Xenopus tropicalis: one gene and its partners. The protein of the gene in region 2 binds, or shares a complex with, the protein of the main gene of each other region. Links are inferred from orthologs where the notes say so. Each region holds a gene or a part of one and is shown on either strand. Other genes may lie near its edges. The genes, in order: cpsf3, cpsf2 and cpsf4.

Region 1 (10,125 bases), on a different chromosome or scaffold from region 2:
GCCTCACCTTGAGTATGCAGTGCAGTTTTGGGCTCCAGTCCTTAAGAAGGATATTAATGAGCTGGAGAGAGTGCAGAGACTGCAACTAAACTGGTTAAGGGGATGGAAGATTTAAACTATGAGGTTAGACTGTCGAGGTTGGGGTTGTTTTCTCTGGAAAAGAGGCGCTTGCGAGGGGACATGATTACTCTGTACAAGTACATTAGAGGGGATTATAGGCAGTTGGGGGATGTTCTTTTTTCCCATAAAAACAATCAACGCACCAGAGGTCACCCCTTTAGATTAGAGGAACGGAGCTTCCATTTGAAGCAGCGTAGGTGGTTTTTCACGGTGAGGGCAGTGAGGTTATGGAATGCCCTTCCTAGTGATGTGGTAATGGCAGATTCTGTTAATGCCTTTAAGAGGGGCCTGGATGAGTTCTTGATCAATCAGAATATCCAAGGCTATTGTGATACTAATATCTACAGTTAGTACTAGTGGTTGTATTTATAGTTTATGTATGTGAGTGTATAGATTGGTAGGTGTGGGTTAGGTGTGCTGGGTTTACTTGGATGGGTTGAACTTGATGGACACAGGTCTTTTTTCAACCCTATGTAACTATGTAACTATGTAACTATAACTATATTAAAAGTTAACATAAAGGTGAACCACAATTTAACCAGCAGGATTTTCCCAAACAAGCCCACTTTCAGCTCTAATGTTAGTGAATTAGCCTTCATCAGTCATTTTGTTCTCCATGAGGCAAAAAATGTAATTGCTACTGACAGCAGTATCTGCCTGGCTATTTCTATTCTCTGCACTGCTTGCCCTGACTCCTGAAACAATGTAGCAGAAGCCACAAGCCCTGGAGGACTTTTGCTACATATTTTCAATGGTTTCAGTAATTACATATACAAGGCATTGACCAGGTTAAAATAATATATATATAAGATTTCCAGGAAGTTGCAGTAATGTTTTGGTATTAGTTTGACAACTACCCACTGCCTGGCTATTTCTATTCTCTGCACTGCTTGCAATGACTCCTGAAACAATGTAGCAGAAGCCACAAGCCCTGGAGGTGTTTTGCTACATAGTTTCATTGGGTTGCCTTGGGTTCCTAATTACATTTACAAAGCATTGAACGTTAAAATAATATATATATAAGATTTACAGGAAGCTACAGTAATGTTTTGGCATTAGTTTGACAACTACCCACTGCCTGGCTATTTCTATTCCCTGCACTGATTGCCCTGACTCCTGAAACAATGTAGCAGAAGCCACAAGCCCTGGAGGCTACATAGTTTCATTGGGTTGCGTTGGGTTTCTAATTACATTTACAAAGCATTGATCACGTTAAAATAATATATATATAAGATTTACAGGAAGCTGCAGTAATGTTTTGGCATTAGTTTGACAACTACCCACTGCCTGGCTATTTCTATTCCCTGCACTGCTTGCCCTGACTCCTGAAACAATGTAGCAGAAGCCACAAGCACTGGAGGACTTTTGCTACATAGTTTCATTGAGTTGCCTTGGGTTCCTAATTACATTTACAAAGCATTGATCACGTTAAAATAATATATATATATATATATATATATATATATATATATAGAGTCCACAGGTATAGCGGTGCACACTGGGAGTCCTTTAAAAGTTAGCTTTTATTGAACTATATAAAACTTAATACATGGAGAAATAGGTCAACGTTTCGGCCCCCATCTTGGGCCTTTGTCAAGACCTTAAACATGTAACAACCATCAAAGCTATAAATAGATAAAAGCACAAACCCACACCCAATGGCACAAGTCATTCCAGTCATGTGTCAAAATTAAAAGAAAAGAAACCCTGTACCAAGGAGAAAACAATATCAAACACCATAAGGAAAATTATAATGAGCATACCACTGGCCATAAACTCCCATTTATATTCTGGCCCATCACCTCACATTAAGGGCCCTAGAATCTAAACCCCACAGAGATCTAGCGTTGATTTAAAAAGCAGGAAAAAGAGCAATATTCATTAAGGCCAAAAGGGGATAATGTATTTAAAGTTTTAATCCAGAATGTTTCCCTTTGTAGGAGCAAACGGGAGCAGTCACCCCCCCTCCTGGGTAGGGGAACATGGTCGATTGCAATATAACGAAAGGTGGGTAACCTGTGGCCCTGTTCTAAAAAATGTTTTGCCACCGGTTTATTAGTCACCCCATCACGAAATGCTGTACTAATAGCAGAGCGATGACCATCCATACGCAGCCTCAACGTTTGATCAGTCTTTCCTATATAGGACAAACCACAGGGACAAGTAATCAAATAAATGACAAAAGATGTAGTACAAGTGATATGATGTCTTATATTGAGACGCTTACCCGTATGGGGATGTAAAAAAGTCGCCCCTGGAGTCATATACCGACAAGAGGTGCAATTGGGGCATTTAAAGCATCCAGGTTTGTTGCTACGCAACCATGAACCAGATTTCTTTTGGTAACATGCTATCGGGTCACTCTGTACTAAGAGATCACGTAAATTTATACCCCTTCTGTAGCTAACAAGTGGGGCATTGGGTAATACCTTCTTAAAGGCATGGTCGGCCTGAAGAATATTCCAATTTTTACCAATCGTATTTCTGATGTGGCCAGATCTAGAATTAAAGGTAGTACAAAACACCACACCAGGATGTGCCTTGGGACCCCTGCTAGTGAGATTACAGCGAGAGCGAGCCGTTGATAAAGCTTGCGTTAAAACTGAAACTGGGTAACCCCTTGCTTGAAAGCGCCCCCACATCTCCAGGATTTGGGTTTCCGCTATGCGCTCATCGGAGTTATTCCTCAAAACCCTACAAAATTGTGAGATGGGTAGGGATTTTTTAAGGGCTGGAGGGTGACTACTACCAAAGTGGAGAAGCACGTTCTTGTCAGTGGGCTTGCGGAACAACGAGTAGCCCAACTGGCCACCCGTGATCCACAGCTCAATGTCCAAAAAATGTAGCCGCTCCCTCTGGATCTCTGCTGTAAATTTAACAGGACTGTCCAATGCATTAAGATTTGTCACCATCATATGAAATTCATCCTCCGTTCCACACCAGAGCATAAGCATATCGTCTATATAGCGTCGGAAAAACAAAAGGTTATTCCCATATTTTGGCACAATATACAGTTGTTCAAAACAATGCATAAATAAATTAGCATAAGCTGGAGCCATGGCAGCACCCATTGCCGTACCAGAAACCTGGAGAAAAAAATCATATTCAAACCGAAAATAATTCAAGGTAAGTGCTAAATGCAAAAGTTCCAGTACGAATGAAATTGGGGGCCCCTGATATGTATCCATTGACTCCAGCGCAGTCCGAGTGGCCGCCAAACCCTCCTCATGCGGTATACAGGTATACAAGCTGACCACATCCAAACTTGCTAGAAAGAAACGTGCACCCTCAGGGATATGTACTTGTTTGATACAATCTAGCAAATGTGGGGTGTCCTTAAGATAAGTCGGTGTTTTCTGTACCGCCGGCTGGAGTATGGTATCTAAGTAGACACAAATGGGATGCAATACGGAATTCCTTCCGGACACAATCGGACGCCCTGGTGGTTGTGTAAGACTTTTATGCACTTTTGGCAACGTGTATAGTACCGGGCAAACCGGGTGCTCCAACTTCAAAAACTCGCCCAATTATATATAGAGTCCACAGGTATAGCGGTGCACACTGGGAATCCTTTAAAATTAGCTTTTATTGAACTATATAAAACTTAATACATGGAGAAATAGGTCAACGTTTCGGCCCCCATCTTGGGCCTTTGTCAAGACCTTAAACATGTAACAACCATCAAAGCTATAAATAGCACAAACCCACACCCAATGGCACAAGTCATTAATTTGGTTGTTACATGTTTAAGGTCTTGACAAAGGCCCAAGATGGGGGCCGAAACATTGACCTATTTCTCCATGTATTAAGTTTTATATAGTTCAATAAAAGCTAACTTTTAAAGGATTCCCAGTGTGCACCGCTATACCTGTGGACTCTATTGAAATTGCTTGAATCGGTAGCACCTGGGTCAATTAGCCACTTGCTAAGGAGTGCTGAACCCTCTTGGTTTGTATATATACATATATATATATATATATATATATATATATATATATATATATATATATATATATATATACATATATATATATATATATATATATAAGATTTACAGGAAGCTGCAGTAATGTTTTGGTATTAGTTTGACAACTACCCACTGCCTGGCTATTTCTATTCTCTGCACTGCTTGCCCTGACTCCTGAAACAATGTAGCAGAAGCCACAAGCCCTGGAGGTCTTTTGCTACATAGTTTCATTGGGTTGCGTTGGGTTTCTAATTACATTTACAAAGCATTGATCACGTTAAAATAATATATATATAAGATTTCCAGGAAGCTGCAGTAATGTTTTGGCATTAGTTTGACAACTACCCACTGCCTGGCTATTTCTATTCTCTGCACTGCTTGCCCTGACTCCTGAAACAATGTAGCAGAAGCCACAAGCCCTGGAGGTCTTTTGCTACATAGTTTCATTGGGTTGCGTTGGGTTTCTAATTACATTTACAAAGCATTGAACATTAAAATAATATATATATAAGATTTACAGGAAGCTGCAGTAATGTTTTGGCATTAGTTTGACAACTACCCACTGCCTGGCTATTTCTATTCTCTGCACTGCTTGCAATGACTCCTGAAACAATGTAGCAGAAGCCACAAGCCCTGGAGGACTTTGCTACATAGTTTCATTGGGTTGCCTTGGGTTCCTAATTACATTAACAAGGGCTTGAACACGTTGAAATAATATATACTGCAATTTCCAGGAAGCTGCAGTAGTGTTTTGGCATTAGTTTGATAACTACCCTAACATACATGAGCCCACAAAGCCCGTATTGCTACGTAGCTGCAGCCACTTACTGTAACAGCTGCTTCCGGCCCGGTACCCTCGGTTACAGTATAAGGCTCTTCCCTATCCGGTACGTTACCGTGGAGTGATAATCCATTAGCTACATGAAGATAGCGGAACCCAAGCGCAGAGCCCGGAGCAACCCGGAAGTGGCAATAGAGTGGGGAAAGTGAAGGGGCGGACCGGGGAATGGTGTGTAGCGGGGGCCGGAAGTCTCGGCGAATGGGATAGGAACATCATGTCTGTGAAAAGGAAAGCGGAGAGCGCTATCCCGGCCGAGGAGAGTGACCAGCTGCTCATTCGGCCCCTGTGGGTGATACTATAACCTTATGCCGGCACTATATGTTACGGGTACTATAGACATTGTGCGGGGTTTAGTATAGAGCCGGGGCTTCTGTGTGTGTAATGTATAACCTGTGTATGGGGGGGCCCTCCGGCTATCAGTCTCTCCCATACTGCGCTGGGTTTGTTGTATGGCGGAAAGGGCATTTACCTTATTATCATCACACGGGTTGGATACATGGTGTAACAATAGCTAGCTAGGTGCTCTGTATATTCCTATAGCATGGCCAGGCTGCATCTCAGTCAGGGGGTTCTGGGAGTTGTAGTTTGGCAGTGACTGGAAGGCTGCAGGTTCCACATCTGGAGTGGGTTCCCAAGCCTGCCAGCAGCCCTGGCCTACTGTGATTATGTTTAGAGCAGCGGTTCTCAACCTGTGGGTCAGGACCCCTTTGGGGGGGTCAAACAACCCTTTCACAGGGGTCGCCTAAGACCATCTAAAAACATATATTTCCAATGGTCTTAGGAATTATTTTATGGTTGGGGGTCACCACAACATGAGGAACTGTATTAAAGGAGACATATCCTATATAAATTAAGAATTTCCCAGGGAATTATACTCCTCTAGATATAGAAGGATTGTGCTAAAAAAAATAGTGTTTCAAACTGATTTATTGAGAAATTCTCCCAAAACCCCACTAGTCCCACCCATCTGTTCCACTTCCTGCTGGCTGAATTCTCTGGATGAGCTGGGGAGCTGGCGGCCCTCCGTACCCTGCACTGTAGGATAGGAACCAATCAGCAGCTAGGCTGACCTGATAGGGAACTGAAGCCTGTCTGTGCTTGTGTTTATTTCGTTTAAAAGTAACTTGAAAAAACTTGAATGCAAGGAAATCACATTCTACTCATCTCAGTGCAGGGCTGTGATTGGCTCTCCCCCTCCTACTGTGCTTCTGGCAGGGACCTGAGAGGATCTATAGGGAGCTCCAATAAAGGGGCCATTGTTACAGATAGGGTTAATGTTTAGCCCAAAGGGAAACCAGCACCGAATATTATTCATAATTGCCTACAGGGTTAGGGGTTTCCCATTTATCCAATATGTCTCCTTTAAATGGTCACGGCATTAGGGAGGTTGAGCACTTCTGGTTTAGACAGTGATGTGATGTGGGTATTGTACCTATTGTGGGTTCATGTACCTATATATTGTTTATGATAAGCCAGCGGGCCGCCAGCTATAACATTAGCGCTTCCTGATGCTCTCACCACCTATAGACTTAGTTTTGATACATGCGCTACATATCTGTCCTCTGGCATTATGGCAATCATGTTAGTTGCTCCCACAGTGCATGGAATTAAAATGCCTGTTATTTTATATCTATTCCAGTTATGTCAGAGACATGAGCAGAGCAGAAATTCTCACGTCTGTTGGTGAATGAATAGGCTTAAATAGAAATGTCAGAAATCCCATTGCATTGCATGTGTGGCTGACAATTATGTTAAAGCATGTACTGTTGTGTTTGATTTCAGAGGCGCTGGTCAGGAGGTGGGAAGATCATGTATCATTCTGGAATTCAAAGGAAGAAAGATTATGGTGAGTTCATACATAACCGCGTAAGATTGTTGCATGTTTGTTAAAGGTTGTTCAGCTTTGAGTTAACTTTTTAATATGATGTAGAGAGTGCTATTCTGAGACAATTTGCAATTGGTCATCAATTTGTATTATTTGTGTTTTTTTAGTTATGTTGCTTTTTGTTTAGCAGTTCTGCTGTTTGAAATTTTTGCAATTTCTGGTTGCTAGGGTCCATGTTACCATAGCAAACGTGGAGTGGTTTAAATGAGAGACTGGTATATGAATAGGAGAGGGCCACAATAGAAAAATACATAATAAAAAGTAACAGTAACAACTAGAAAGGGAAGTTTGAGAACAAACTTCATGTTGGGTTGAAAAATGTGAAGTCACGAAATGAAATCTGATCTTTTGTTGGCTCCGCCCACTTTTTCTAACCTTGGACCACAGTTATATAGTAAAAACCACTGTGCCAAGTTTGGGGACCCTGGTTTTAATAGTGTCTGAATGGCAGCAACTTAAAGTTCCCCACTGAAAGTCAACGAGTGACATCTGATTGGTGGTTGGTGGCTCCTCCCACCTGGAACTGCAGTTACCCAGTGACTAACATTGCAAAGTTTAGGGACTCTAGGATTAACAGTTTAAGAATGGCAGCAGTTTAAATTTAAACCAATCAAAGTCAATAGGTAAATGGTGGTTGGTGGGTGTGCCCACTTTTCTAACCTTGAGTCGAAGTCACCCCGTGACAAACAGTGGGCACCCTGGCATAAATAGTGTGAGAATGACAGCATTCTAAATTTAAACCAATAAAATTCAATGGATGAAATCTGATTGGCTGTTCGTGGCCCAACCCACTTTTCCTATTTTTGAACTGCAGTCCCCCAGTGACCAACTGTGCAAAGTTTGGGGACTCAGGCATAAAAATTGTGGGACTGACAGCATTTTACACTTCACCACTGAAAGTAAATAGGTGAAATGTCATTGGCTGTTGGTGGCTCCGCCCACTTTTTCTAACTTTGAACTGCAAATACCCAGTGACTAACTTTGTTTAACAACCCTGGAATTATTACTTAAATAATGGCATCAGTTTAAATATAAACCAATGAAATTTAATGGGTGGAAATGGATTGGCTGTTGGTGGCTCCGCCCACTTGTTCTAACCCTGAATACGTTTGCAGTCAGTGACTGACTGCAAAGTTTGGGAACCCTGACATAAATAGTGTGAGAAAGGCAGCATTTTAAATTTAAACCAAAATAATTCAATAGGTGAAGTCTGATTGGCTGTTGGTGGCACCACCCACTTTTTAAAACTTAAAAATGCAGTCCCCTAGTGACCCTGGTGTTAATACTGTGAGAATGGCAGCAGGTTGAATTTCCCCATTAAAAATCAATAGTTAAAATTTGGCTGTTGGTGGCTTCACCCACTTTTTCTAACTCTGAACCGCAGATATCTGGTGACTAGCTCTGCAAAGTTTGGGGACCTTAGTATTAATATTTAAAGAATGGCCGCAGTTTAAATTTAAACATATGAAGTCCTATAGGTGAAGTCTGATTGGCTGTTGTTGGCCCTGCCCACTTTTCTAGACTTGGAACCCAGTGACAAACTGTGCAAAGTTTAGGGATCCTGACATTAAACATGTGAGAATGGCAGCAGTTAAAATTTCCCCACCAATAACAATGAAAGAAATGTGATTGGCTTTTGGCAGCCCCGCCCACTTTTTCTAACCTTAAATACGAAGTCAGGCAGTGACTGACTGTGCAAAGTGTGGGGACCCTGGTTTTAATACTGTGAGAATGGCAGCAGGTTGAAATTCCCCATTGAAAGTCAATAGGTAAATTTAATTGGCTGTTGGTGGCTCCGCCCACTTTTTCTAACCTTGACCCACAGTTACCTGGTGCCTTACTCTGCAAAGTTTGGGGACCCCGGCATTTTTACTGTGAGAATGGCAGCAGGTAAAATCTGATTAGCTGTTCACAGCTCCGCCCACTTTTGGGCATCCAACAATCATCATATCTTCATTCAGGCTGAGCCCATGACTATGTGATTCAAGTTTGGGGAGTGTAGCCTCAAAGTGTGGCAGCAGTTTCAATTTCCCTATACAAGTCAATAGGTGAAATTTGATTGGCAATACAATAAGTATTTTGTTTTGTCCAAATGAGACAAAGAAAGATGGAGAGCAGCAATATTGGCCTCCACCGCAGATGAATTGGAGCAATAGGTAAATTGCAATAGATCTAATGACTTAAGGTGCTTGGCTTTAATATGTGACATAACTACTCTCTGACTGCACTTCATAAAAAACTTGGGAGCGGCCAACTCCCGGGAACTGTAACTAGACACTCCCAGAGAGACAGCCAGTGTTAGCAGGAGAGAGACCCAGAATCAGTACAAGCTGAGATCTTAAACACCATTATGGCGACCTGGGGCACTTTTACTTGCCCTGTTTGAGAGGGAAATTCTGGGGGGCAAGTGCCTCCCTTGTTCCTTACTGTGGATGGCAATGCTGTTGACAGTAAGAAACCATAAGAAATAAACAAAGAGTTTGGAAAATAGCAGAGGACATTATAGGCATATATCATTCCTGAGATTGTGTAATCGCTTCTTTCCCTATTCTGTGAGACTTAATACATAGCTGTTTTATGGGATGTAATTCTGTGTAATACACATATTCCACTCAGGTACTGTATTTCAGTTGAGGTTTAGGTTCTCTAAAATAATGAAATAGGGTAATGAAAGTGTTACTCATAAACTGATAGGAAGAGAGAGATATAGACAAACTAAGAGAGAAAAATTGGGGCGTTCCGAGCGGGGCCACAAAACAACGGGGGGCGCAATCGCTTAGAAAAGCACAAGCAACCTGCTCCACTATAGGGCGAAGAAGTGTGGGGAGTTTGGGTATTGTACCCCTAAAACTGTAGGAGGAGTAGTGTTTAGAAAATGGAAGAAGAAGAAGAAGCGGAAGAATAAGCTGAAGTCGAAAAACAGTATGTGGGGTTTATGTGGGGTTTTTCAACCCAACACAATAAAACTGTAGCCTAGCAGAGCAATAGTTTTTTGGCTGCTGGAGTCAGTGATCCCCATTTGAAATCAAAGAAGAAAGAAAGAAGAAAAGGGAAAATAATTCAAAAACTATAAAAATAAGTAATGAAGGTTAATTGAAAAGTTGCTTAGAATGGGCCATTCTGTAACATAGTAACAGTTCATTTAAAGGTGAACCAGCCCTTTAATGACTGGACAGTTGGTCAGTGCGTTAGCAATGTTTCTGCCAATGGCAGGTGTAAAACAGCAGACTCTACAGCAATAGTTATTGCTTGTTTGTGTTTACAGCTGGACTGTGGGATCCACCCTGGATTAGAGGGAATGGATGCTCTCCC
Region 2 (9,876 bases):
CTTTTATTCACATAATATCCCACAACAGACAACTGGAGGCAAGGTGCCCCATAAAATGCTTTTTCCAGGTTACTATAAGCTGAGCAACGCTGTACAGCTATGGTCACCCTTTTCACTGCTTCTGAACTGCAGCAACTCAATTAACAAATATGTGTTACATTCAATAATCATTAAATTCAGTGAAGCTGCTGGCATATAACGTAGACCTCCCGGCCTTAGCTCACTCTTTCAGGTCCAGTCTCTTTTTTTTGTAAGATTTTCTTTATTGATTTTTTACAAACAAACCAAAATAGTCTCTCCTTCTTTAACGAGATGTCTGACCCTGATACCCTGGTTAGCGAGTACAACAGTATGCTAACCTCCACCATTGACTCATTTGCACCCCTTCAGCCTAAGCGTACTCCCCTCTACTAATACAAACCAGTTCCTCCTTCCTCAGCCCCCTTCTGCATGCCTTAGCTCTTTTGCTTCCTTAACTGTCTCCGAAGTCTTCCGGCTTCTATTGTCAGCTCCGCTCACCACTTGCTCTCTCTCTGCTTAAACACTGTGCTGCTGAACTTACTCCAGCTCTTACTCACATCTTCAATTCTTCTCTAACTTCTGGAAGTTTCCCCTCTTCGTTCAAACAGGCCTGTGTCAAGCCTATCCTTAAAAAGGCCACGCTGGTCCTGTCCTGTCTCTCTAACTATAGTCCTGTCTTGCTTCTACCGCTTGCCTCCAAAATCTATATTAAATACTGCTGCCAGAATTCTCCTCCTCTCATCCAGGAGAGTTCAGGCCCTTCCCCTGCTAAAGTCCTTATCGTGGCTTCCTATTAAACAAAGAATATCTTACTAACTCCTTCTCTTAACCTTCAAAGCCCTCTATTCCTCTGCCCCTCACTACATCTCCTCTCTTGTGTCTCCGTACATTCCTGGCCGACTCCTTCGTTCCTCGCAAAGCAACCGCTTGGTTGCGCCCCCCACTATTACTGCACGTTCCCACCTTAAACCTTTCTGCCTTGCTGCCCCTTACATTTGGACTGCCCTCTCTGATTTCCTCCGGAGAGAATCCTCCCTAAGTTTTTTTTAAAACTAAACTTAAAGACTATCTTTTGGAGCACTCACCCAGCACCTGATCTGGGAACTAGCACTTATATTGCATTGTCACCCACTGTGACCTACTGCACTTATATTTGCCTATTTGTGTCTGTAAGTTACCCTCCCATATAGATTGTAAGCTCTACGGGGCAGGGACCTCCATCCTCTTGTGTCTTTGACTCTTAACTTATTGCAACTGTATCTTGTATTTATTGTTATACTTTGTATTTATCTGTTATTATTTTAATAACCCCCTGTTGTATTAATCTATTCTTCTGTACAGCACTGTGTACATAAGTAGCGCTTTATAAATAGAGATATACATACATACTTTAAAAAACAAAAATCCCACTGTTTATACATACCTTTCAAATGCACAATTTGGGAATATTTTAATTGCTGGATTTTATCGAATGCACAATCAACATCATCAAGAGAGAAAAGACTGAAATCCTCAGTGTTGTGACGAGACTGAAACATAAGAGATTTGTTTTAGTGTGTAAACATAATGGCATATTAACAAATGTGATAGTATTAATATATACCTGATATAAGTCATACATAAACATCTGACCCATCTTGTACACTGGAATAGTAGAATATATGGCACAGTTCAACCCCAGCTTTCCAACAGCATAGGGCAGAGCCCCCAGGTGCAATGGATCAGGATGCGATAAGAGGACTGCATCCACCTGATGGACATATCTGCAAAAAAAAAAAAAAAAAAAAAAAATTATATACATACATACATACATACATACAGTTGGCACCCCAGAAATTTTTCCAGAAAATCAAGTATTTCTCACAGAAAAGTATTGCAGTAACACATGTTTTGCTATACACATGTTTATTCCCTTTGTGTGTACTGGAACTGAACAAAGAAGGGAGGAAAAAAAGCAAATTGGACACAATGTCACACAAAACTCCAAAAATGGGCAGGACAAAATTATTGGCACCCTTTCAAAATAGTGGATAAATAAGATTGTTTCAAACATGTGATGCTCCTTTAAACTCACCTGGGGCAAGTAACAGATGTGGGCAATATAAAAATCACACCTGAAAGCAGATGAAAAGGAGAGAAGTTCCCATAGTCTTTGCATTGTGTGTCTGTGTGTGCCACACTAAGCATGGACAACAGAAAGAGGAGAAGAGAACTGTCTGAGGACTTGAGAACCAAAATTGTGGAAAAATATCAACAATCTCCAGAGATCTAGATTTGCCTTTGTCCACAGAGCGCAACACTATCAAGAAGTTTGCAACCCATGGCACTGTAGCTAATCTTTCTGGGCGTGGGCGGAAGAGAAAAATTGATGAAAGGTTGCAACGCAGGATAGTCCGGATGGTGGATAAGCAGCCCCAAACAAGTTCCAAAGAAATTCAAGCTGTCCTGCAGGCTCAGGGAGCATCTGTTTCAGCGCGAACTATCCGTCGAAATTTAAATGAAATGAAACGCTATGGCAGGAGACCCAGGAGGACCCCACTGCTGACACAGAGACATAAAAGAGCAAGACTACAGTTTGCAAAAATGTACTTGAGTAAGCCACAATCCTTCTGGGAAAACGTCTTGTGGACAGATGAGACCAAGATAGAGCTTTTTGGTAAAGCACATAATTCTACTGTTTACCGAAAACAGAAAGAGGCCTACAAAGAAAAGAACACAGTACCTACAATGAAATATGGTGGAGGTTCACTGATGTTTTGGGGTTGTTTTGCTGCCTTGCATGTGTGCAAGTCATCATGAAATCTAAAGATTACCAAAGGATTTCGGGTCGCACTGTAGAGCCCAGTGTTAGAAAACTGGGTTTGCGTCCGAGATCTTGGGTCTTCCAGCAGGACAATGACCCCAAACATACGTCAAAAAGCACCCAGAAATGGATGGCAAAAAAACGCTGGAGAGTTCTGAAGTGGCCAGCAATGAGTCCAGATCTAAATCCCATTGAACATCTGTGGAGAGATCTTAAAATTGCTGTTGGGAAAAGGTGCCCTTCCAATAAGAGAGACCTAGAGCAGTTTGCAAAGGAAAAGTGGTCCAAAATTCCTGGTGAGAGGTGTAAGAAGCTTATTGATGGTTATAGGAAGCGACTGATTTCAGTTATTTTTTCCAAAGAGTGTGTAACCAAATATTAAGTTAAGGGTGCCAATAATTTTGTCCAGACCATTTTTGGAGATTTGTGTGACATTATGTCCAATTTGCTTTTTTTCCTCCCTTTTTCGTTCTGTCCCAATACACACAAAGGGAATAAACATGTGTAACTGCAATACTTTTCTGGGAGAAATACTTGATTTTCTGGAAAAATTTCTGGGGTGCCAACAATTTTGGCCATGACTGTATAAGAACCACCAAAGAGGAGCACTCCCAAAACTAATGTAGCAACTTGCCTGGGTGCTGGTAAATATGTTAAATAGAAAATCATAGTACTACCGCACTTAACAGGAATACTTGTGAAAAATCTATATTTATTGAAAAAAATCAGGTGTTTTGAACACCAACTGTGCTCTTTCTCAAGGAGACCTTTATCCCCTTAGCAAAGGTCTCAAGGAAGACCGAAACGTTAAAATAACAAATAAACAATATCTTTACACTGTACTTTCAAGCCCTGTGAGTGCCTTGATTTATATGACATTCTATATTACTTTTTTGTGGCGTGCACCAAGACATTTTCTCCAATCAGTGAGTGCAACTATTTTTGTGTTTCTTTATATAAAAAGAAAGCAAATAGGAGCCAAAAATGTTGGCACCCCTCAGTGAGTTAACCTTTTGCTCTCCTTCTACTGAAAAAATGTCTTTTTGACTCCAGCTGTACAGCAAGTACATTGTAAACATACTGCAATGGCATACATTTTATATATGTATTATGCATACTTTTTGACAGAGTCAATGATATCCATGGAAAAATTCTCATCCCAGCCACAGTCCAAGAGAAACCGGAATTCATCAACCTGAAGAAGATAACAAACTGCAGATTCTTCCTGGGCGCCGGCCAAGGTAGTTAGCTTAATGATGGATGTCATTTTTTTCAGATGCTACAGATCTATTAGAATGCATACAAAAGCACTGTTATATTATGTGCAGATAAGCTGCTGCATGCAAACATTAATGAAGCAAAGTATATGGTTATTTTCATAATCTTCTTGAGGATATCTATTGACACTAAAGAAAAACACTTAAGGATCAGATGAACACACTGCATTGTATAGGACAGTAATGTAATGTAATTTAATGACCAGGGGATGGGGGTTTGACTGCTTCAGTGTCTGCCTTTCAAGTGGGCTCTAAAATGGTGCAGCCTAAAGCCCAACAGGGACTCAGTGGGCTCTCTGTCTGCCCTATTACCCACAGACCTTTGCAAGGCTTGCAGCGACAAACTGCATATGGCACAGGTAAAGATAGGGCTCTGTTGCAAACTTTCAACTGGGAAAATTCACTTGGACCCTTAAGACTTTATTTACTCCCAGTGTATTCACGTTTGTGCGCCTTTACTGAAGGGCTAGGTAATACATTCCACAATAACCATTTCCTGGGCACTAAACAACCCCTCTGCTAGACTTCTCAGCACTAGTCTATGTTCCCTATTTCAGGTAATTGGATAACCTGAAAAAAATAAGTATCTGTTTAAATGCAGTAACATGTATATTCTCAATGTCTCATTATAACAAAACCCCTACAATGCTGTAGCAGTTCTTAATGGGATAGTACCACTAAATGTAAAGTAAAGTTGGTTAAGTCTGGGCTCCCCTGCCCTAAACTTTCAGAACCTTTCTGTGCTTGCCTGAACTGGCCCCTACCGAAAATTCTGACCACCAGCCTAAACTCATTATTAGCCTGACATCTTACGTCTGAGTCACACAAAACTGCCAGTTTCAGTCACTTTGCTGCAGGAGCAGCCTGCAATGTATCTAATAAGCTCTCAGCACAAGTCTCACTCTCTAAGTGTCCCGCTCTACGTCTCTTCTCCCGTTCCGCTAACCTGCAACAGCCTTTCAAATCCCATATGAGCCTCCAACATTTTACCTTTCGCGCCGATAAGAGAAATGCCCACTAGCTCGCTTTCGCAACTACATACGAGCCCACCAGTCCCTCTGAAGACCCCATGTGAAGTACTATGCCAACAACAATCAACGACTAGCATTGGATGAAACCGGCGCCATCTTCCTTGTGCGCATGACCGGGGTGCGCAGAAGGAACAATCCATTTCAAGCGGAAAGGGGGAGTGATTGTATAAAGTCTAACAACTTTAACAGTATTACTTCACAAAACGTTCCTTTTACGATTAATAGTGTCTAACGTATGGGAATATTTTTAGCAGTTTAGCCAGCTTTCCCTTTCATACAGGGCATATAAGGTGTCCCTAGACTTTAAAATATTGGTAGCGTCCGCTGCCCTCTGTGTGTTTCCTTGCTTCCTTGCTGGCTGGTTGGTGTAACTGCTGTTCCCATCCGAAAGGTAAGAGTGCGAGACTTGGGGTCCTCTAGGTGACTAGGCCCAGATGCATGTTAACTTGGGGGTCATGAATCTGAGAGAGAATGCAGTAGTATAAACATAGGCACATAGATGTCCCTTGAAATAAATCTTTTTAATGGAAACAAAGGAAATGTAATAGTTATCAGTAGAATTGTAGGTAATAGAAATAGTGAGGGAACATGTACTGAATAATACACTGGGGAGGGGGTCACAATACGTTAGACACCCCACGATTCTTCAATAGCTTACCTTTTTACCTGGACCAGTACTCCTGTTTGGAAAAAAATTGCATTGGACTAGGGAACATTTTTACCCAGTGCTGTGCAGCCATGTTTTCAGTATTTCCCAGGACTCAGTAGTAAAATGTTACCATTGTGCACATGCATAAGTCAGAGTTGTAACAAAAGGGAGCCTTTGGAAAATAAAGGTAAAAGTAAATTGGGTAAAATAAATAGACTGCACAAAATAAAAAATATTTCTAATATAGTTACTTAGGCAAACATGTTAAATCCAGCCTTTATAGATTACCTTTTGCCTAACTATATTAGAAATATGTTTTATTTTGTTCAGTCTACATAAAAAGGCAATATTTACTGATATACCACTTTTCTTACCTTGCTTAATAGCTCACTTATTCGGGTTGCATTTTCATTAAAAACATTTAGTTTTCCTTTACATATTCAGGTTACTAGCAACCACCTCTAATTCTGTGTGCTGTTTCTTTGAAGTATGTGCTGTATGGTCATATGTGGGTCTGTTGCACAAAGGACCACTATATGGTCATGTGTGCGTTTGCTGCACATATAGCAACTTAAAGGAAAAAGAAAGTCAAAGTCACTTGGGGGTGCCAAAATGTTAGGCACCCCAAGTGACTTTGACCACCTACCTTTTACCCCGGGCTGGTGCCCCTGTGAGGAGAGAACAGCACCAGCCCGGGGTAGCTGCCGGCGCTTACTTCTTCCTGACTCGCTGCGCGCGCATGCGCAGTAGAGTGAAAAGCCGAACTTAAGCATTAAAGTCGGCTTTTCACTCTAATGCGCATGCGCCCACCGCTGGCATTTCAGCAATGGAAGCAGGAAGAAGGAAGCGATCTGCTCCAGGTACCCCGGGCTGGTGCTGTTTTCTCCTAACAGTCACTTGGGGGTGCCTAACATTTTTGCCTAACACTTCACTGATGTGCGTCTGAACCTCTTGCTCAGGGAGTTCCAAAACAATAGATTGGGTGAGATTTAGGGACAGATTTATCAAAATGTGAGTTTAGAGCTTATTACATAAAAACTCACCCCGATTTTTTTCATTCCTATAGGATTTTTAGTGTACTTATAAATGGGAGAAAGTTGAAAATGCTTCTAAAAATCCCATAGAAATTAATACAACGTGGGTGAGTTTTTATGTATTAAGTTCTAAACTCACATTTTGATAAATCTGCCCCTTAGTGTTAAAGTTTTTGTAGTAATGTATACACCCAGAACGGTATAAGAAGGTCAATGATCGTAGGACCATTTTATATATCGAATAAAGCTCTTTTAAAGGAACAGCAACACCAAAAAATAAAAGAGCTTTAAAGTAATAAAAATATAATGCCCTGCACTGGTAAAACTGGTGTGTTTGCTACAGTAACACTACTATAATTTATATAATAAGCTGCTGTGTAGCCACGGGGGCAGCCATTCAAGCTGGAAAAAAGGAGAAAAGGCACAGGTTACATAGCAGATAACAGATAAGTTCTGTAGAATACTATAGTGTTTTATCTGTTATCTGCTATGTGCCTGTGCCTTTTCTCCTTTGAATGGCTGCCTCCATGGCTACATAGCAGCTTATTTATATAAATTATAGTAGATTTTCTGAAGTAAACACACAACTTTTACCAGTGCAGGGCAGCAGCACATTATATTTTAGTTACTTTTATACACTTTCATTTTTTGGTGTTACTGTTCCTTTAAAGGAGAACTAAAGCTAAATTAAAGAAGTAGGGCAGCAATGGTGTACATTGTTTTGGCTTTGACACCAGCAAATGGCAATCACAGCCCTTTTGGCAGGGAAGATCTCTGCCGCTAAATTTGCCCCCAGTAGCTTCCCATCTTCTGCTGCTACACTGCACATATTCTGTGCTACTGTCAGTTACCTGAGCTTAGGGACTCGCTCACAATGTCACAATATAAGGCTGATTTAGTAATTAATTCAGAATATTAGTACATATAATCAGCTCTGTAGCATTAGCTTTTCTGACAGGCAAACCTCATTTTCTACTTAATAATTTGTGCATGTGAGTGTCACTGATACTCCTAACAAAATCAAATATGGATAGCTCCTGTGACAACTTTAAAGGCCTGGATCATTATTATTATACAGATGCTGAACCTCTTGGCTGGGGCAATATGTTTATGATTAAAATGAATATGGCTAGAAATAGCATATTTTTTAAGTTTTAGTTCTTTTTTAACTAATGGGGTTCTTGGCCATATTTTTGACCACAAAGTGGGATGATAAAATTAAAAACATTAACCTAACAGTCTGATATGTAAAATTTAGAATATTTGCATATAGGGACACACTAAATCCCAAACACTTAAGATCACTTGACTTTGGTCACGCAATAAGGTGATCACAATTTTTTTTCTGTATGCACGGTTCTTTTTGACCCTTGGTGCAAATGCAGATTGGCTTTGGATTTGGTTTCGGATTTGCCGAATCCTTCATGAAAGATTTGGGACTCAACTGAATCCCAAAATAGAGGATTCTATGCATCTCTAATAAACACTATTATTTAACCCACGTAGTAAAAATACATTTTGTTGAGTTTGATGTACACTGATTTATTTGGTTTATACATTTTCATTATTTTAATTTTGTCATTAATTATCCACTTTTTATTTCTTGTAATTACTTTTTTGCAGTTGCCATGGTAAACCTTGCAGGAATTCTGCGAGATCACTGGGTCAATGTGCTTATTCCTGTTGGATTTGTGATTGGATGGTATTTAGACAGGAGGAATGATGAAAAGTTAAGTACATTCAGGAACAAAAGCATGCTGTACAAAAGGTAAGATTGCTTTTACAAAATATGACTAAAGTTGCCCAAGAAAATAAATAGTCATTCCTCATTAAAACATACAATTTATTTCCAATTGCTTTTCCACACTGAAAAGAATAGTCCAAATTCTTTCTACCTGCAAGCGATTTGCATTTAGCTACAGGTTGTTTAACAGATTTTCTGCCAAAGATAGTAAAATCTACAGGACCAGCTGTCAGGGGCCTAATTGTCAGGTTTGTAGATTTGATGTTTTCAGGAATTCTATATCTGTAAGCTTTTAGAGGAGTTTCTTGCATGTACAGCAAGTTTCACATTGCCCCACTGCATCTCAATGGGATTTAGATCTGGGCTTTGATTTGGTAATTCCAAAAGCCTCCATTTGTTTTCTGCCAATTCTTGGTTGCTTTACTGGAATATTTGGGTCACTGGATTATATGATGGCCAGCTGGACAGGCAGCAATGCAGCCCAAAACCATAACCTTTTAATTACCATGCTTTAAATGTAGATATCAGCAGTGCTGACAATTATCTGTAGGTCCAATGATAAAATTAAAAGTTTTTAGAAACTTCTTACAAAATCTTATATTCTGCTCACAGGGACAGCCTGGCCTGGGCATTTGGCAGTTGTTTGAAATATTTTTCATTGCAAAGTGTTTAAAAAAGATTGCCAATCAATTAGATGTTAGGTGTAACTGATACAATTTATTAAAATAACTTCCTAGACTAATATGTATATATAATCTTCTATTTAAAGGCCTCAGGGAGCTCTTCCAATCTAGGCATGGGGAGACCACTCACTTTAACAATAAAGAACAAGCTAAATGAGGTTTATATAGGACAACTTTCTCCAAGAACCTCTCTAACTATAGAAGCACCAGATTTTTCATCAGCAGTAGGGGGACACAAGTGGACGTATACCACCCGGGGGCAGGAATGACCCCATATATGTTTATCATTTGGACCTGGTGCACTTGATTCTAATTTCACATTTGCATTTATGATTATTTAAATTACACACATGAACTACACACTCTCTAAATGGTGCATGATATTTGATTTATTATATCGCCTTTAGCTATTAACTGTACATATTAACAAAGATTATTCAGTTAAAAAGGCATCCAACAAAATCAGTCAAGTAAATTAGGCTTTTTTTATTTTATTTGGGGTTGGCAAAGGTATCAGAACTTTTCTTGGCCAATCTCTTGGCAGAATTTTACAGCTGGGCCACAAGGAGCATAAAGTGGGCAATTTATCTGAACTGTCCAGGCATCAGGTTATGTAGGGGTCCTGATATGGTCA
Region 3 (10,027 bases), on a different chromosome or scaffold from region 2:
ACTTTTTAATATAAAAAAGAGTGAGGTACTGACCACCACAGGTATAACCTTTAAAAATAGACTTTAATGCCAATAAAACCTATTAAATAATACAATCACTTACCAAACTTGGAGTAGAAGTAGCACTCTGGCATTTTAGTCATATCATACTCGTGCAAAAATTCACACTGGTCTCCCTTCTTGCAAAGGCCTCGTAACCAATGTTTACAGACCACTGTCTTCTCCCCACTGATATGTCTAAACGGACACATTCCGCCTGCACAGATAAGACAGATAGTTTAAAAAAGTGAAATATATTATTCTCTCTCTACCTATGTACATTGGTGATGCACCGAATCCATAATTTTCAAAAACTGGCAGAATACCCACAAAAACTGGGACCCTAATTTGCAATTTAAAATAATGCTTTTATTTGTCCAAGGATCGAACTCTGGAAATGGTGCATCCCTAATATAAAAGAAATAAAGAGAGATAAAGTGATTTTGTATATTATATTTCTTTAATTCTTTATAATAGCATATATTTTGCAATCTATTGTAGGGCATCCAAAAGAACAACATTTTGGGGGATTATTTATTATCACTGGAGACAAACACCTACAAGTTAGAAAGCAAAAGCAAAGATCAGCTTGGTATGGGCAACATCACCAGTGATGTTTATCTCCAATGTTAATAAATACACCCCTGTGCTGTACTTCATGCTAAGTGTCTGTGGACAATAATTTAAAGGGGAACTCCACCCAAACACAACTTAAATGATGTACTTTTCAAAAAGTGTAAGCAATTTTGCAATATAAATCAATTAAAAGATATGCAGCCTTTTCATGATTTTTAATGTAATAATATGGTTTTAAACTGTTCTAAGCCTAGCCCCTGTTCTCCTCCTTATCTGGATCACTACTTTGAGATTCAAATAAAATATAACAGTAGTCTACTGCCTCAGCCTGCATCCTCCAAATCCCAAAATTCCTTGCAGACATCATGTCAATAAGGAAAGAAACATTATAGTGCAATGAATTGTGGGTTATGTAGTTCCTGCTTGATGTCTGTAAGCTGTGGAGAATTTGTATAATCAATGTTTTAGTCCCTCCTGCAAGGATTTCAAATGATGCAGAAAGAGAAGAACTATTTTGCGGATAGATTTCAGCACATAAAAATTGTATTTATTCATGGTTTTTGAAGGAACAGATTACAATGATAGGTATATTACAGATTTCTGTGTTGTTTGGGGCTCTTTAACAAATTGTATAAACAAATAAAAGAGCAGTCCTATAATGGCACCTATCTCTGTTGTTGAGGGGTCCTAGGATTGTCAGTAGGTTTTCATTCTCCTTTACATTTCTAACTCTCTTCCTCAGCCCGGTGCTCCTGTTTGTAAACAATGCATGGGTCTCAGAAGCTATCTAACACTGCATTGCAAAGTCTTGCTAGTATGTTAAAAGGCTCCCCTTATGCTTAGCTGAACTTGCACAGTACAGTAAAAATCTTCACTATTTTGTGCATGTGCAATTAAGAAGTTCGGAAAGAGCGTTTGGAAATACTAGTAAAACAGCAGCACAGTAGTGATGTGTGGGTCGACTTTTTGTATTTTTCAAATATAAGACTGATGTCCTGTGGTGATTAGTCACCCGTGGTAAAACTCTGCTGCCGCAGGGGACTAATCTCCCCAAAATGCCTTTCCGCACATACACATCGCTAAGTCATCCAAAGTTTCCTTTGTGAGGAAACTTTCGGGGGACTTAGTGATGCGTATGCCTTCCCACTGGCTATTCACGTTATTGCCAGTGGGAAGGCATAAACATTGCTAAGTCTCTCTAATACTTGCTAAGTATTTCTGGTAGATTAGTTGCCGTGGTAGCAGGCGACTAGTCTCCCCATGGAGAGGCCCTAAGCATTAAGCTGCCAACAGCAATAAATCCGCAAATAATTTTGATTGGTTGCTATGGGTGATGACACAAATGTAATTTCTCCCCTATGTTAGTAAATCACACCCATGTCTCGATTTACAGCATAAATACTATGGAGTTATGTTCATTTCCAGTGATTTACCTTTTCCACAGGCCGATTTCAGAAAAAACTCACAAACAGCAGCCCCAGACTCTGCAAAAGACATTTTTAGTTATTAAAAAAGAGTGCAAAATAAATAAGCCCTTAGCCTCATTACTACCAATATGTGTTTATAGAAATTTGTCTTGTTAACCAGTAACTATAACATGAATACAGACTGCATATACCTATTTATTGTCATTACAAATCTGTAAATTTACAGGGGTATTACTATATTTTAAAATAAAATTAAAAAAAACTGTTACCACTACTACTGCAATAAAATCAAATATTCACATTAGGGTAATGGTGCTGCTGCATTTTATGCGTTTTACAGACATGCTTTAAGAAATTCAAATGCTCTGCTATTAAAATGTGCCATTGTCCTTACATACACTTGGTTTTCTTTTTTTATTTCTGAGGTTTAGGTCTACTACTCTCCATAGAATAAGCAATAAATATAAAAAACTAACAACAAAATAAATTTTCTGTTGGGCTGCTGGTTGTTGCTGACCCTGGCACCACAATAATTCAAAGACCACAAAAAAAAAGATGACATGCCCATTGTCTTAAGCTGGCCATACACGCACCAATGTATGGTGGATTGACGAGATGACCAATATCACAAAAGTCTTAGATATCGGGCCATCGCGTTTGTAAGGTTCCTGACCGCCGATCTTAGATTTAGTAATCCGTGGGAGCCCTCCTACCAGGACAAAGGCGTATACGGGGACAAGAACGACACAACTCCAATGGTAGTTCAAACTTGTCCAGTTTATTCTTAAGTGATCATAGAATTTATACCCCTTGTGTACTTGCAGAAACAAAAGGATCATTATAAAATAAAGATGGAGTAGAACCTCATTATCTTCAGGGATGGCCTTCAAACATGGCTCATACGGGACAGGAATTTAAAGGAGGACACAAGGAGTAGAAAAGGCGTTATTGCACAGATAAGATTAAGTTGTTTTTAAACCATGTATTTCGTAAGGTGCAAGCTGTGCAAGGGTACTATTTGGGAAAAACAACTATTATGGGATGTTCAAGCCTTGCTGGTTGCGGTTACAAAATGGAGATACATTTCTAAAATAGAGTATGATATGCTAAGCATCAAAGTATCAAAATACATGCATATATGGATATATGACTATATGACTATATGAATATGAGAATATAGGATATTATATAAAACCTTACAGCGTTGATCGGGCGCAGTTGAAGGCGCCCAAGCAAAAGCTGAATTTAGGGCTGAATGGTCAGAGAGGAGTAGAATGCCTATTGTTTCTACTGCCACATCCGACGAATTAGCCCTGAACGTCATTGGAGGGTATGAACAATTTTTCGTGAGACCAATGGTCACAGGAAAGATTGTAATTGTTACGTGTATAGCCAGCTTTAGAATGTCAGTTTTTTACACTGTTTTGAAACAGAGGTGATGCAACACAGGGAGAGCTGTGAAATTCTGTCACCAAAGCAGTTGTACTGGAAGATACATTAGACCAGGGGTGGGCAAACTACGGCCCGCAGGCCACGTCCGGCCCGTTGGTCCTTTTAATCTGGCTTGCCGACTCTGGAAGTCTCATGACGCGAGGCGTCTGACAAGTGGAAACGGTGTAATGCTGGCCCGGCCCGTCTGTAAGTCAATGTGGCCCCTGAGCCAAAAAGTTTGCCCAACCCTGCATTAGACAGTTTCAAAAGAGGGTTGGATGCCTTCTTAGAAAGTGAGAAAATCTAGGGTTACAGTACTCTTAGAAGTTGATTTAGGAACTAGTCCAATTGCCCTTCAAAGTCAGGAAGGAATTTTACCCTGCTGAGGAAAACTGGAGATAGCTTCAGATGTTTATTTTTTTGTTTGCGATCCTCTGGATCAATGTTCAATTCTGTTATAATATCACCCCGATCACAGTGCTACCTATACTGGATAGGGAAAAATGTACTGCTCAAACTGGTATATTACGTCTGCTTCTCATAGTAACCTTGCAAGACAACTTCAGGCTAGTACGCAATGCATATGTTTTCCCACCAGTTATTTACATTAATGCTGATGGGAAGAGAGCTTTGGACGTTTTGTTGCTCGAACTGGAGAAGAGTATGTGCAGGTGGCAATACGTCCCATATGCCATTGCCTAATGTAAGATTGCAAGCTACAAAACACAACCTGCTTGTCACACCTTATAGGCAGCATAAGATTCACAAGAAGGACCAGCCATGTACACAATTGCCTGGGTTGGCAAGTACTCCAGCATCCTGTTCTGTACTAAAATCTGTTATTACACTATAAATGTTGATGGAAAGTTGCTACTTTCCGAAGCTCTCATATGCCTTTGGTTGATTTCTAGGTCTAATTTATTGAAAGCTTTAAAGGAGACATAAAGGATAACCACAAAACCTCTAATCTTGTAGGCAATTATGGTGCTGGTTTCACTTTGGACTAAAAATTAATACTATCTGTAAAAATGGTCCTTTTTTGGAGCTCCCTATAGACCGTCTCCTAATGCTCCCTGCCAGAAGCACAGTAGGATAGTGATAGCCAATCACAGCCCTGCAGTCACACAGGCAAAGACAGGCTTCAGTTCCCTATCAGGTCAGCCTAGCTGCTGATTGGTTCCTATCCTACAGTACAGTGTGCCCCCTCAATTCATTGGCACAATATTGTTTTTAACACAACATGTCCCCCTGGTTATTAGATCCCATGACCCACTTTGCATGTGCCTGTGTGAGTGTGTGTGAACTGGTCAGCATAGTCAAACCTACATAATTCAGCTTATTTATGCAACTTGTTACTTTTACATTTGCAAGCAGCTTGTATGTTATAGATACCTCTATAGGACAGATAGTGCATGTTTCTCTCTCTGGGAGTATATCAGATATAAGGAAGATAACAGTAGTTATGGTTTTTATTTCAAAGCCAATTGACTGTGTGTTACAAAACCACGTGACTGACATACAGGGAAACCAGGGACTGACAGGCGCGGAAAAGTCTCACACAATTTGCTATTAAAATCGCTGTCATTATCCTAGATAAAGGGGTACGTTGACTTTGGGCAGATATTTTTTCAGACCCTGGCTTGCGTCCCGTCCTTTTTAAAATACCTATAACCTGCTTTCACAGCAGGATAACGTCCAACCTGCGGCCATCCATTTGTTGACTTAAAACTCACAGCTATCCCTGAGAGCTGTAAATTACTAACAGCTAAAAGACCCCCAAGTAAGATTTCACTTCTCTGAAGAACAAGACAAAAAAGAAACCAGGTCCCACTATTCAGTTTCTAATGCATAAAGTCACGTGTAGGTCGCTGCCTCATGCCCAAAGAGTCGGATTTAGATCACACTATCCACTCTTTAAAAAAACATCATAGGGCTAAGAGAAGGGATCATTACCCGGTTTAAAAGCCCACCCCGGTAATGGGAGGGATCAGGCCCCGGTACTCACTGTCCATGCCCGGGAAAGGGAGGGGTTGAGCCCCCAGCTGTTGTTCCACGGCCAGTTCCAGATCGAACCGGATATGATCCACACAAGCAATTAACTCCTGCATCGTTATCGTTACCGGTACCGAGTCCGACACCAACACCAAATATCAGCATCAGACTCATCCAGCAGAACGCCGAACGATGGATTTCTCAACCTAGAGCAGGGCACTCTGGGAAAGAACCAATGCAAAGCACGTCGGGAGGAGGCGGGGCTGAAAGCTGTGGGTGGAAAAAAAAAAAGATTAAAATCGAAACGTGAGAGCGATGTTGGATAGTAAGTTAATAAGTTGGATGTTATTTGTATAAAGCAATTTAGAAATGTTCGTTATGGTACATTTACTGATCAGAATTGTGTATAGAAAGGCAATACTACGGAGTAAGGTGTCTCACAAAGGATAGAGGACGAATATTTTGAAACTTGTTAGGATGTCGGATTACAGACAGTACGATTGTAAATGCAATATGTAATGTGAAATGTATGCTTTTTAGCGCAGTAGTCTTTGCTTAGTCCATGTGTTTTAATAGGGAAATCTGTGTGTCTCTGTCAGTATCTCCCAGCAGTGCCAGGAAACCCCGGCAATGTGACATATTGGCAGTGCTCTCAGCAATACAGGCATGTGTAGCTAAAGGTTACAGGGCCCTAAAGCAAAAACATTCTGCCCGTCCTTCGCTTTAGCAATAATGAAACTTTTCATAATCATATTTTGAAACTGTCTATCTGTCAGTATTACAAAGGAATCTCTATACAGTCCGCAGCTGCTGGGTCCACTTTCTAGATATGACACTGGAGAATACAGAATAGGGAAATCTATATATACCCGTCGCTATAACGTATTACTACTTCTTACATAGTATTTTGGCATTAGGGAATTATTAACAAAAAAAGGGTTAGTTTTTCTTAAATCTGCTAATGAAATTTGGCTTGTGTCCCAAGCACTGTCCCAAAGTTGGAGGGGGGTCACACTTTTTTCCCCCTAACAAGTTCCTATTGTGAAAATACTTATTTTGGCAATAGGAATTTGTTAATTAGAGGTCAACAAACAAGCATTCGCTTTAAAGGAGCAGAATATATCCCCAGCAAGAGTCCAGTAAATAGGCCAAAAATATCCTTTGCCTTCTATTTTAATTAAGAAATATCTATAGTTTTGCAGTTTCTTGCATTATATATGGCAAACTCTGGAACTGAAAGCTCCTTGATTTTCCAGCTTCCTAGTTCTTCTAAGCAATTGTGGGGTGAGAAGATAGTAAAACAGTTTACTAGTCCACAGATAACTCATTTTTCTAGGAGAAGGGTATATTTGTTTATGCAGCGGTCATTTTCTCTTTTTAAATGAGGACTAACTCTCCCACAAGCAAAAGCCCCATAGCCTACCCTTAATTAACCCCATTCCTGCTCACTCCCGGCAGAGTCTGTTAGAAAAGTGCCCATTTTTCTGTGAGGAAGTTGCAGGGAGGGGGGCCAATTGAGGCCAGGCAATGAGGGGCTTTTTCCTGTGGGGGGGTTTAGTTCACCTTTAAACAAATTCTTTATCCCTAGTCACTAACAGGACTGAGGGCCTCATTGCTTACCTTTGTGCTTGAACTATCATAAAGGAAACCCCACTTTTTGAGTTTGCTAATTCATTCTGGGTTTTGGGTGGAAAAATCTCAGCAATTGATGTTATTTCCCCTAATGGGTTTTTGTAACAAATGAAAATTTACAGAAGTTAGGGAAAGTTCAGGGAAAATTATGGAAATTGCAGAGCTTTTTGCGCCCAAAACCTAGCAAATGTTAAAAAATCCCATTGCTCCGTACGTGAACAAAATTTCTGTGCGACTTGGGTGGCATGCTGCCCTAGGCCTGAGTCTTTGTGGCCTCACCACATATCTGGGCCTGATTGGGGTTTCCTTTATGGTTGCTTGGGTTTTCATAAATCTGGATCTTGTAACAACAGGATGAAATTTCTAGTTCCATTTACAAACAGATGCATTATTTTTGTAGTGCTTTGATGGTAGAGATTACAAAGAGTTACAAAGAGATTACAGTAGAGTTACAAAGCCTCTTGTTTCTTGCATAGTTAATAAACTCTTTTTTTACCCAATAGTGAGCACTGCAGTGCTTGCAACGGGGAGGTAAACTATAAATCCACGGGGTGGATTCTTGGCCTACGCTACTAAAATCTTTTGGTTGTGCCTGTACCCAAAGCTACTGTGTCAAGCAGTTTTGCAACAAATTCTGCTGTGTGTGCCAGCACTTGGCCCGACACAGTGGCTTCGGGTGCAGGCACAACCAAAAGCTTTTTGCTTTTTTTTGTGGATTCTCGACCTGCATTTATCCACAGGCTTAGAATCCATCCCATCTATCATGTTATTGTCCTTGCATGTTATTTATAATTTTGCCTTAAAAGTATTTGACCAATGTTTGTACATTCCCTATCTGACCACCCATGTTCCTCTATGAGGGGGGCTGCCATATTTGTGCAGCAGTAGTCCATTCGCATTAGGAGCTGTAACTTACAGGTTCAGAAGGGACAGTCAGGTTGGCAAAACAGTCAGGTTTAGGGACTTCAAGTAACAATTACTTACAAAAGCAGCCCTATCAGCAAAAAATGGTCAACATGACCTATAGGTAAGTTTTAACGTACATCCATATTTAGAAAAGTATTTTTTTTGGTGTCAGTATCACTTTAAAGAGATATATCTTTATGCAAACTGCATTTTAAATGTGACTTTTATTTTTTCTGTGCTTCACGTTTCTAGTTAAGCTCCCTGTTGCAATCACTGCAGTGCTAACTGTTAGGTAACAAAAGAGTTTATTAACTATGCAAAAAACTACTCCATTTAGAAGCTTGAAGAAGTTGAGTTTACTTTCATGTTTTTCCAGTTATATCAGAGGGAGCAGCTACTGTCTGATAACATAACTTTATTCAGTAACTTAATTATAACCCCACCTCTAGTGATGAGTGAATGTGTCCCGTTTTGCTTCACCAAAAAATTCGTGAAACATTGAAAAAATTTGCAAAACGGCATACAAATTCTCAAAATGTGAAAAATTCTAAATATGAAAAATAGTGCGTAAAAAAAAACTGTCACACATAAAAAAATTACATGCGCAACAATTTTTTTGATTCATGGCAAATTTTTCTGTGGCAATTTTTTTGTGCCCATTTCTCATAAAAATCCACGAAAGGCAGAAATTCGTAGTGAATCCATGCCTGGGGAAAAATTTTGCTCATCACTACCTACCTCCATTGTACTCTGTCTGATTCTTGTTCAGATGCTTGCTAGGTGATTGTTGCTTCAAAACACAGCAGTCTGCAACTCAACAGTTGCATTTCAATTCAAACACTATTTATTTGGCTAATATTAATATGTTTTAATATTATTAAACATATGTATGTTGCTTGACCTGATGTATCCATTACAAATTTTTGTCATTAAATTTTAAATAATTGAAAACCATATATTTATCTTTAAAAAAACAATACACTAAACCATTACACACCCACACTAGTTCTTGCATTAATATATTCTAAGCTCATTGAGGTCATAATGAGGAGAAATTTTAGGGGGCTATTGAAATGAACTTTGCTTTATATTTGGTTCTACAAAAACAACAATCTCTTCTAGCAGTTTTGTGCTAACCATTTTAATAGATAAAAACAAAAATAAATGAAAAATATTTGCAAAAAACACTTTCCAAAATATATTTTGTTCTTTGCAGCTCCATTGGGAATTTCTCAACCAGTTTTAAGTGGCTAAGTTATCATGCGGCTTCTACAACACCTTACTCGTTACTTGTCTGCTCGCTCTGCTTGTCAGACACAGCTTGTTTGCGGAAAGATATTGGCAGCTAAAGACTTGTCCTCTTCTATTCATTGGTTCATTGGCAAGCAGCACAAAAGGTATTTTACCTCTGCAATCTCACTAAGTCAAATATCAAGTAGACAGAGAACTTTTGTCCTATCCAGAGAAAATAATAACACAAACCCAGATGTGCACAGTATGGAAGATGAAACTTTTGGGACCTTGGCTGAAAAATATTCATCTAGGACTTTTTTCAAGAAAACGTCTCCTGAGCTTCAAAAATTAGGACATGAAGAAGATAATGATGGAGAAGAGCCCAATTATCCTATAAGGTGGAGACAAAGGAATACTCCTTACTGGTACTTTTTAAAGTGCAAAGCAAAAATCAAAGAAGACAAGGTAAGATGTTTATACATATAATGGTTTCTATTTATTAAAAATAGAGTTTGATTTTGTCAAGGTGTTTGCATAATATTTATTCGCAGCATGTTGGCATATAAAAGTGAAATCGTTTTTAAAGAACATGTCATTTGCCATTTTGATTCTGTAAACAAACATATTACTACACAGTACCCTGAATAGAACTGGTGATGTGCTGTGTCACAATTACGATGTCCAGGGAAAAATGCATTTTGGGTAAAACACAATAATTGAGTCTGGAATTGCATATTGCAACCGCAGTCATAACTTAAGGATTTGCACCATTACTTCACTTGTGGGTGTTT

The links.
Region 1: cpsf2 (region 2) and cpsf3 share a complex: the UniProt entries of both Homo sapiens proteins name them as parts of the cleavage and polyadenylation specificity factor (CPSF) complex. The link is inferred for Xenopus tropicalis from reciprocal best matches to the Homo sapiens genes CPSF2 and CPSF3.
Region 3: cpsf2 (region 2) and cpsf4 share a complex: the UniProt entries of both Homo sapiens proteins name them as parts of the cleavage and polyadenylation specificity factor (CPSF) complex. The link is inferred for Xenopus tropicalis from reciprocal best matches to the Homo sapiens genes CPSF2 and CPSF4.

What each region holds. Positions count from the first base shown.
Region 1 is NC_030681.2:137,799,147-137,809,271, forward strand, and holds the start of cpsf3 (cleavage and polyadenylation specificity factor subunit 3), read left to right. Parts: upstream 1-5,213; 5' UTR 5,214-5,255; intron 5,256-6,710; coding exon of another isoform or gene 6,711-6,771; coding exon 6,772-6,774; intron 6,775-10,078; coding exon 10,079-10,125. UniProt on the Homo sapiens protein: Component of the cleavage and polyadenylation specificity factor (CPSF) complex that plays a key role in pre-mRNA 3'-end formation, recognizing the AAUAAA signal sequence and interacting with poly(A) polymerase and other factors to bring about cleavage and poly(A) addition.
Region 2 is NC_030684.2:87,332,267-87,342,142, reverse strand, and holds the start of cpsf2 (cleavage and polyadenylation specificity factor subunit 2), read right to left. Parts: upstream 5,240-9,876; 5' UTR 5,092-5,239; intron 4,112-5,091; 5' UTR 4,092-4,111; coding exon 3,943-4,091; intron 1,785-3,942; coding exon 1,625-1,784; intron 1,551-1,624; coding exon 1,445-1,550; intron 1-1,444. Other genes in the region: ndufb1 (NADH dehydrogenase [ubiquinone] 1 beta subcomplex subunit 1), read left to right, coding at 8,444-8,583. UniProt on the Homo sapiens protein: Component of the cleavage and polyadenylation specificity factor (CPSF) complex that play a key role in pre-mRNA 3'-end formation, recognizing the AAUAAA signal sequence and interacting with poly(A) polymerase and other factors to bring about cleavage and poly(A) addition.
Region 3 is NC_030685.2:47,258,361-47,268,387, forward strand, and holds the start of cpsf4 (cleavage and polyadenylation specificity factor subunit 4), read right to left. Parts: upstream 6,084-10,027; 5' UTR 5,907-6,083; intron 5,791-5,906; exon of another isoform or gene 5,736-5,790; 5' UTR 5,582-5,735; coding exon 5,479-5,581; exon of another isoform or gene 5,427-5,478; intron 2,100-5,426; coding exon 2,049-2,099; intron 257-2,048; coding exon 104-256; intron 1-103. Other genes in the region: ptcd1 (pentatricopeptide repeat-containing protein 1, mitochondrial), read left to right, coding at 9,264-9,701. UniProt on the Homo sapiens protein: Component of the cleavage and polyadenylation specificity factor (CPSF) complex that play a key role in pre-mRNA 3'-end formation, recognizing the AAUAAA signal sequence and interacting with poly(A) polymerase and other factors to bring about cleavage and poly(A) addition.